Linked DNA regions of Oryctolagus cuniculus. Each later gene encodes a partner of the first gene's protein in a complex. Links are inferred from orthologs where the notes say so. Each region holds a gene or a part of one and is shown in the gene's direction. Other genes may lie near its edges.

Evidence for each region.
Region 2: the proteins of OSGEP (region 1) and LAGE3 are in contact, whole or in part, in a crystal structure (PDB 6GWJ), measured with the Homo sapiens proteins. The link is inferred for Oryctolagus cuniculus from reciprocal best matches to the Homo sapiens genes OSGEP and LAGE3. Residues at the interface, in NP_060277.1 of Homo sapiens: Arg50, Ile53, Leu54, Asp55, Leu57, Gln58, Leu61, Gln69, Ala84, Val87, Ser88, Val91, Val92, Arg94, Thr95, Val96, Gln98, Leu99, Trp100, Asn101, Leu315, Ser318, Gly319, Val320; in NP_006005.2 of Homo sapiens: Glu76, Ile77, Gly80, Ser81, Leu82, Pro84, Asp85, Asp125, Gln126, Leu129, Val130, Arg132, Thr133, Met134, Arg136, Phe137, Gly138, Pro139, Pro140, Val141, Arg143.

Annotation. Positions count from the first base shown.
Region 1 is NC_091443.1:54,295,986-54,300,283, forward strand, and holds the start of OSGEP (tRNA N6-adenosine threonylcarbamoyltransferase), read left to right. Parts: upstream 1-1,498; 5' UTR 1,499-1,698; coding exon 1,699-1,813; intron 1,814-3,550; coding exon 3,551-3,670; intron 3,671-3,840; coding exon 3,841-4,016; intron 4,017-4,298. Other genes in the region: DNA repair nuclease/redox regulator APEX1, read right to left, coding at 313-500, 716-773. UniProt on the Homo sapiens protein: Component of the EKC/KEOPS complex that is required for the formation of a threonylcarbamoyl group on adenosine at position 37 (t(6)A37) in tRNAs that read codons beginning with adenine.
Region 2 is NC_091453.1:132,705,611-132,708,806, reverse strand, and holds LAGE3 (EKC/KEOPS complex subunit LAGE3), read left to right. Parts: upstream 1-1,403; 5' UTR 1,404-1,490; coding exon 1,491-1,699; intron 1,700-1,971; coding exon 1,972-2,100; intron 2,101-2,380; coding exon 2,381-2,495; 3' UTR 2,496-2,696; downstream 2,697-3,196. UniProt on the Homo sapiens protein: Component of the EKC/KEOPS complex that is required for the formation of a threonylcarbamoyl group on adenosine at position 37 (t(6)A37) in tRNAs that read codons beginning with adenine.

The DNA of each region.
Region 1 (4,298 bases):
TCACAAGGGCAGCTAAGACTTTTAAGCAGTAGATTTGGGAATGGAGGGTATTCTGGAGCTAAAATGGAGGCTGGCCAGCACAGAGGTTTTTGCAACAGTCGGAGGAAGGATACATTAGTAAGACTGGCAATGGCAATGAAGGAATGGACATTCCAGCAAGTCTTGGTTCATCTTCTACTGCTTTCCCTTTGCCCCTTGTACTTCTCCCACAAGAAAAGAAAGGAGAAAAAAAAGTTACATCCTGGGCATTAAAATGAAAAGACGCTAATGAAGCCCTGAGACCATTCAGCATGAAATCTGAATTCCACTCACATCTAAGCCTTTCTTCTTAATCCAGGCTCGAAGCCCATCCACGTTCCAGGAGCAGATCTTCAGTGTGGCAGCTTTGCCGCTAGGTGAGGTTTTCTGGTCTGGGGGGTCCTCATACAGCACGGGGCCCTCTCCTGCTGACTCTTTTTCATTTTTCTTCGCTGCCGTCTTAGCCTTCTTGGTCTCTGGCTCTATAACGAGAATAATACGTAGGGATAAGAGCTGGAGGTTTCCAACATCGAGTCAGAGTCCAAGGCAAACGCACCGCGACCCTGCGGTTAGCGCGACTTCCTCTCCTGCGCCCGCTATGAGTTGGCCCACAGCTAACATTTCGCCAAGGGACTCAGAAGCAGCCCCCCCAACCCCGCCCACCGCGACTGGCAGGGAGAGGCCGCTTCACTCTCACCCGTCTTGGGCTCCTCCCCGTCTTCTGCCGCGGCCCCCTTCTTCCCTCGCTTTGGCATGCCTGTAACGATCGCCCTTCGGCACCCGAACCACGTCGACCACCGAAGCAGTATCTTCACCGCGATGCCTAAGGATGCAAAGATATACGACTCAGCCGGCGAAGGCTGGGGAGAAAACTCCTGCCCTGGACGGCCCCCGCACTAAGTCCCGCCTTTCAAACCACATAATCTCTGAATCCTGTCCCCGCCTCGGTGCATCAGGCCTTCGGCGCTTCACTCCCCAACTAGATCTATCCATAGAGCGTTTGAATCACCGCGAGATCCGCTCTACGGCCAACGGGAGACCTTTACTAAAGGTCCCGTGAGGCAGCTAGCGGAGGCCCCTCCAACAAGCAAAAACGCAGCGCTGCACCTGACCTGCTCCTGCCCCGCTCCTGCCCCAGCCTGGCTCCTTACCCGAGCACAAAGAAGGGAGCACGCTGGACGCCCACGTGGGTAACTGGCGTGGTCACGTGACCCGAGGCCGCGCGTGATTGGGCCGTCTGCCACCACGTGACGGAGACTCTGACACGCCCCTCTCACTCCGCGGAGGGCTGAAGGTCCCAAGGCTCCGTTCTTGGGCTGTTCACGTTCGTGCCTGATGTACGGCTCCTTCTGCCGCCCTGACCGAAGGAGCCGGCGCCGTGCGAGGGGGCAGAAGCTCAGTGGCAGCGACTGGGCTGGGCCGCAGGAGAGAGGCGGGGGAGTGGACTAGGCAGGGCCGGCGCAGAGGCCGGCTCAGCGCTCCCGGCAGCTCCGGAGACAGGTTCCGGAAGGGGCCTTGTGGGTCGCCGGCGGGCGCAGGCGCAGGCGCGGGCACTGCCCCCGCGGCAGGTTTTGGTGTCCGGGCGCGGTTTACTGTTTACCAACAGCGTGCCGGTACCGCCCGCCGAGGGCTGTCGCGGCTCGGTGTTTGGCGCCTTGGCGTTCTCTCTCAGGCGGCGCCATGCCGACGGTGCTGGGGTTTGAAGGCAGCGCCAACAAGATTGGCGTGGGAGTGGTGCGGGATGGCAAGGTGCTGGCCAACCCGCGGCGGACCTATGTCACGCCTCCGGGCACAGGTGAGTCCTGGACTTAATTTGCGACGACCTTCCCCGCGCACATCACCTATTTCCCTGAACACCAGTGAATGGGGCCCGGGGAATTTTGTCCCATTTTACAGCTCGTTGAGGTTATGTGATGTTATTGTCAGAAGGCGGATGAGTGGAAGAGCCACAGGCGCTTGGACCTGAATCTTCTGGGGTTGTCGAGCTTTCATTGAATGCTTTTTGCGTACCAAGACCTCATAAACTTGTAGAAATCTACCCTGGAGTCTAATGTATAAACGAATTGTAACAGCGTGATGAGTGGTGTAATAGAGATGGACTCAAAATGTTGTAAAATGCGGAGGAGAGACGTGAAGATGGAAGGAATTAGGATTTAGGTACCGGATAGAATTGACTGGTATTGGGATACTCTTGACTTTTTTTTTTTTCACTTTTTAATGTTTGCTTTTTGCTTATTTTTATCTACTGGAAAGGCAGGGTGACAGCCAGCCAGAGAGAACCTCATCTACTGGTCCACTTCCCAAATGCCTGCAGTAGCCAGGGCTGAGTGAGGCAGAAGCCAGGAGCCAATAGCTCCATCCGTGTCTCCCATTTATGGGTTGCAGGGGCTCATACTCTTGGCCATCATCTGCTCCCTGCCAGGGTGCACATCAGCAGGAACTTGGATTGGAAGCCGAGTAGCTAGGCCTTGAGCCTGGGCACTCCCATGGGGAATGTGGGTGTCCCAAGTGCCAGAACACCCACTGTACTTTGTGACTCTTAAAATGGGAGTGGTGGTGCCTTAACATTGTGTCTTGGGGACTAAATGAAAGTACCAGACACTGAACAGCTTCTGTTCCGTATGGTTTATGAGCTATTGTATCTTGCCTACTCTCCCCTCAAACACCTGCACATATAGGAGGGGGCAAATGATTTCCATGTACCAGAGCAGCCTCTGAACAAGTAATGTGACGGGTTGTACGTATTAGAAGTGCTTGTATATCTATGTTTAAGTCTTTCCTATTCTAAGCACTTGGGTACTGGGAGTACAAGAATAAATCAAATAGCCAATGTTTTCAGGTAATTGTAGTTAAACTGTGGAAACCACTGATAATTTTAATGCTATGCTGTAATTGTTAGGTGTAAGATACAGTGATGTGATTATGTGTAGGATTCTGCATGAGGTAGGTATCGGTTGAGTTTGTTTTTTTTTTCAAAGATTTTTTTTTTTTAATTTTAGAGTTATAGGCAGAGAGAGAGAGAGAGAGAGAGAGAGAGGTGTCTCCCATCTGCTGGCTCATTTCCCAAATGGCCACAATGACCAGAGCTGGACCAATCTGAAGGCAGGAGTCAGGAGCTTCTTTTGGGTCTCCCACATGGGTTCAGGGGCCCAAGCATTTGGGCCATCTTCTACTGCTTTCATCAGCAGGGAGCTGGATGGGAAGTGGTGCAGCGGGGACTCGAACTGGTGCCCATATGGGATGCCGGCACTGCAGGTGGACGCTTAACCTACTACGCCACAGTGCCGGCCCCTCACTTGGGTCTTAATGCTGAGTAGGAATTGAGTAGGAAGAAAGGCACTTCTGATACCTGAACAGCTTACGTAGAGGTTAGAATGTGTCTGAAAACCTGGAAGACAGGGTGCTTGAGGAGAATGGAAGGAGTCTTCCTGCATTACTGAAACTCAGGAGGCTTCACTGTCATAGTTTTAAAATTCTACTTGTCTTTGCTGCAGAAAACCCTTATGACCCCTGGCCTGTTCCCATTTTCTAGGATTCCTTCCAGGTGACACTGCCAGGCACCACCGAGCTGTTATCCTAGATCTGCTGCAGGAGGCGCTGAGCGAGGCTGGATTAACCTCCCAGGATATTGACTGCATTGCCTACACCAAGGGTATGACTGGGGGAGGGGTCAGTGTTGGAGGAATGTGGAGCCTGGGTAGGTCAAAATGTCCTCTGCCTTGCCTCTGTCACCACCACAAGCCCTCTCCCGCTTTGACATTCCCTAGTTCCTCACCTGTTTTTTTCCAATCCAGCATTCTGACTACCATTTCTGTCCCCTAGGTCCTGGCATGGGTGCTCCACTAGTTTCTGTGGCTGTCGTGGCTCGTACCGTGGCCCAGCTGTGGAATAAGCCATTGCTAGGCGTGAACCACTGTATAGGCCACATTGAGATGGGCCGTCTCATCACTGGAGCCACCAGCCCAACTGTGCTGTATGTCAGCGGGGGAAACACACAGGTATTTTGAGTACTCCACCTATTTCATCCTACTTTGTGGGCAGTGAACCAGTGACTTCTGTGGCTTACCTGAGTTGTGGGGACTGCCTGTGAAACAGAACTGAACCTAGCTCTTCACCAGAAAACTCACAACAGAGTTCGTAATAGCAGATTTCGACAGGTTATTAAAACTTTAGGTGACTTTTATATATTTGATTATACAAAAAAGATTAGGAATTTCCAATTTAGAAAACAATGATAAGGATTTAAGCTTATATTATTTTGAAGCTTTTTTTTCTGTACA
Region 2 (3,196 bases), on another chromosome or scaffold:
TTCAGAATGGGGAGGGCAAGGTTCAGCGGCTAGAACTTTCCTGATGGGCCAAGCGCCAAAGAACCAAGAGCTGAGCTGAGAGCCCAGTCCGCACTGAGACCGGGCCTTCTGAGGGACTGGGGTCCAGTTCTTCCCTGTTTCTCTTCCCCGCAAGGGCTTTGCTGGGTGTGAAATGGGTGAAATCCCTCCCAAAGTTTTATTACCCAGTTATCAGACTGAGCAGCCTGCTTAGCGCCAGACAGAGGGTTCTCCTGGGGTGCCTTTTTGGGAGGCAAGGCTGGGGCCACCAATAAAGTGACGGGGGTGGACAGGGCTTTGTCGTGTAAAAAAATACAGGACTGCTGCCCAAGTGCACGTCCCAGGCTGCTACATTGCTTTCCACCAGGGCTTTGTTTTCCTTAGGCCCTCTTCACACACACAGCTAATCTCTCCCTTGCTACCTAACAGCCTCACACACAGTCTGAGATCGATCTTGTTACCTAACAGAACGAACTGATACAATGGAACTACGATACATTTGGCAAACTTCAGCGACGGAAAAAAAATCTAGAGCCAAGGTGGCGTTGTAGTTTACCAGGTAAGGCTGTAGCCAGCAACGCTATGAAATGGTTGCTCCTCTTCCAATCCAGCTCTCTGCTGTGGCCTGGGAAAGCAGTAGAAGATGGCCCCGGTCCTTGGGCCCCTGCACCTGTGTGGGACACCCTGAAGAAGCTCCTGACTTTGGATTGGCGCAGCTCTGGCAGTTGCGGGCAACTGGTGAACCAGTGGATGGAAGACCTCTTTCTCTTTCAAATAAATCTATTTAAAATTTATTTATTTGAAAGATAGGGTTAGACAGTGAGAGAAAGAGACAGAGAGAAGGTCTCCCCAAATGGCCGCTACGGCTGGCGCTGCGCCGATCCGAAGCCAGGAGCCAGGTGCCTCTCCTGGTCTCCCATGCGGGTGCAGGCACCCAAGCACTTGGGCCATCCTCCACTGCACTCCCGGCCACAGCAGAGAGCTGGAGAGAAGAGGAGCAACCGGGACTAGAACCCAGCGCCCGTATGGGATGCCGGCGCCGCAGGCGGAGGATTAACCAAGTGAGCCACAGCGCCGGCCCCAAAATAAATAAATCTTAAAAAAAATATATATTGCAGCTCAGTTTCTCCAGGGCCTGTGGGTACCAGCAGCGCTGTGTTGTCGGGAACCGACCACGCATCTGCCTGCTTCACTGGAGGTATGTTCTGGCTAGCGCACTAGCATCGAATCACGAATGCAGTGTTTCTGAAGCTGCCAGGGTCTCCAAGAGCCCCCACGTTGGGCCACTATCGCGGGAACTCACGAGGCGTCCCAACAGCCTCGTCAAAGGTGTGTTTGCGCAGGCGCGCGTGGACGTGGTCGTGCGCGAGGGGCGGAGCTTCAGGAGGGCGGGCAATCTACGAAGCTCCTGGAGATGGCGGGCCGTGGCGCAGCGCCCTGAGGGTGGGGTTGAGGGCGGGGCAGCGGCAGCCATGCAGGCTGCGGACGCAGGCGCAGGCGGCGTGGCGGGCGGCGCTCACACCCAGCGTGGACGGCGTGGCCGCGACTTTCCCGATGGTACCGACACAGAAGCAGCTGCAGCCCGTGGAACTCGAGAAGTCGCGCAGGCACCGCACGCTGCCGTTCCGGGCGGAGACGCCGCGACAGCAGCCGCAAGCCCGGGAATGCGACCACACTCCTTGTATCCTGCGGGAGGGGCACAGTGGGGGAAGGGGGTGGAGGCTGCCCGTGGTGGGGGCAGGGTAGCCTGGAACAGAAGGTGGGAAGGGCGAGTGGGAGGACCGGTAGCACAGAAAGAAGAGCAGGGTAATCGGAGCCGCCCGGATGGCTGTGGGATTAAAGCGTTAGCCAGTGGGGGGCGCCCGAGAGAGGTCATGGAAGCCGTCAGAAGAGCCAGGGAAACAGACTCGGGCAAAGTCGCTTCCGATGGTGCCTTTACCAAACCTCCACCAGTACCCTCAGTGTGCCTTTTCCCACCCGTCTGGAGGCAGAAATCGCCTGTGAGTCCCTGGCTCCAGATGCTGAGCCTCACCCAGAAGCGATTGGAAAGGACCTCGCAGTGACCGGCACCGTCCTGGCGGTGTAAATGCTTCCGGGGGCCGGGGGTGGGGTGGCAGGAGTGGGGGAGCGGGAGGCGGTGAGGGGAAGGCAACAGGGGATGTGGCCATTCTCCACTGAGAGGTAGGCTGGGAGGCCTGGAGGCACTCCGGGGGAAGTCTAAGGAGCAGGTCTGGGACGCTGCCCGAGAGGCCCTGTAATACCGGGGCTTCCAGGATCTGCTGCACTGGATGCCTGAGGGGTAGAGCAAGGGATGTGGGCAGCTACTGTCCCCGACTTGATTTTCTTGTTCCTTCCCTTTTAGCCGCTGGACAGCTAAAGATCCTCGCCTCCTCCGAGTTTCCATCATCAGCTTTCTTGAGCAGCTTTCCCTGGTGGTGCGCACCCTGCAGCGCTTCGGGCCTCCCGTTGCCCGCTAAGACTGGACTGGGTAAAGGGGCCCAGTTGTTACCTTGCTCGCCTCCTAGAAAATGTGTCTCCCTAGGGCGATCATGCCCGAAGCAGGATGGGGCCTAATGGCTTGCCTGCATTGGGTTCTGGGTGCTCAAGATCTGTTTGTTTTCACCAGTGCTTAAATGTTTGCTACCACAGAAAATAAAACTGACCTCTTCCCAGTTTCATATCCTTTTCACATACAAATATCCTTGCCATTGTCCTGGAGTTGCAGTGGAAGAAACGAGATTCACATGTTTAAGAAATGCAAGTTGGGGGCCGGCGCCGCGGCTCACTAGGCTAATCCTCAGCCTTGCGGCACCGGCACACCGGGTTCTAGTCCCGGTCGGGGCGCCGGATTCTGTCCTGGTTGCCCCTCTTCCAGGCCAGCTCTCTGCTGTGGCCAGGGAGTGCAGTGGAGGATGGCCCAAGTGCTTGGGCCCTGCACCCCATGGGAGACCAGGAGAAGCACCTGGCTCCTGCCATCGGATCAGCATGGTGCACCGGCCGCGGCGGCCATTGGAGGGTGAACCAACGGCAAAGGAAGACCTTTCTCTCTGTTTCTCTCTCTCACTGTCCACTCTGCCTGTCAAAAAATAAAAATAAATAAAAAAAAATGCAAGTTGGGGCTGGTGTTGAGGGACAGTGGGTTAAGCTGCCACCTACGTTGCTGGCATCCCGTATAAGT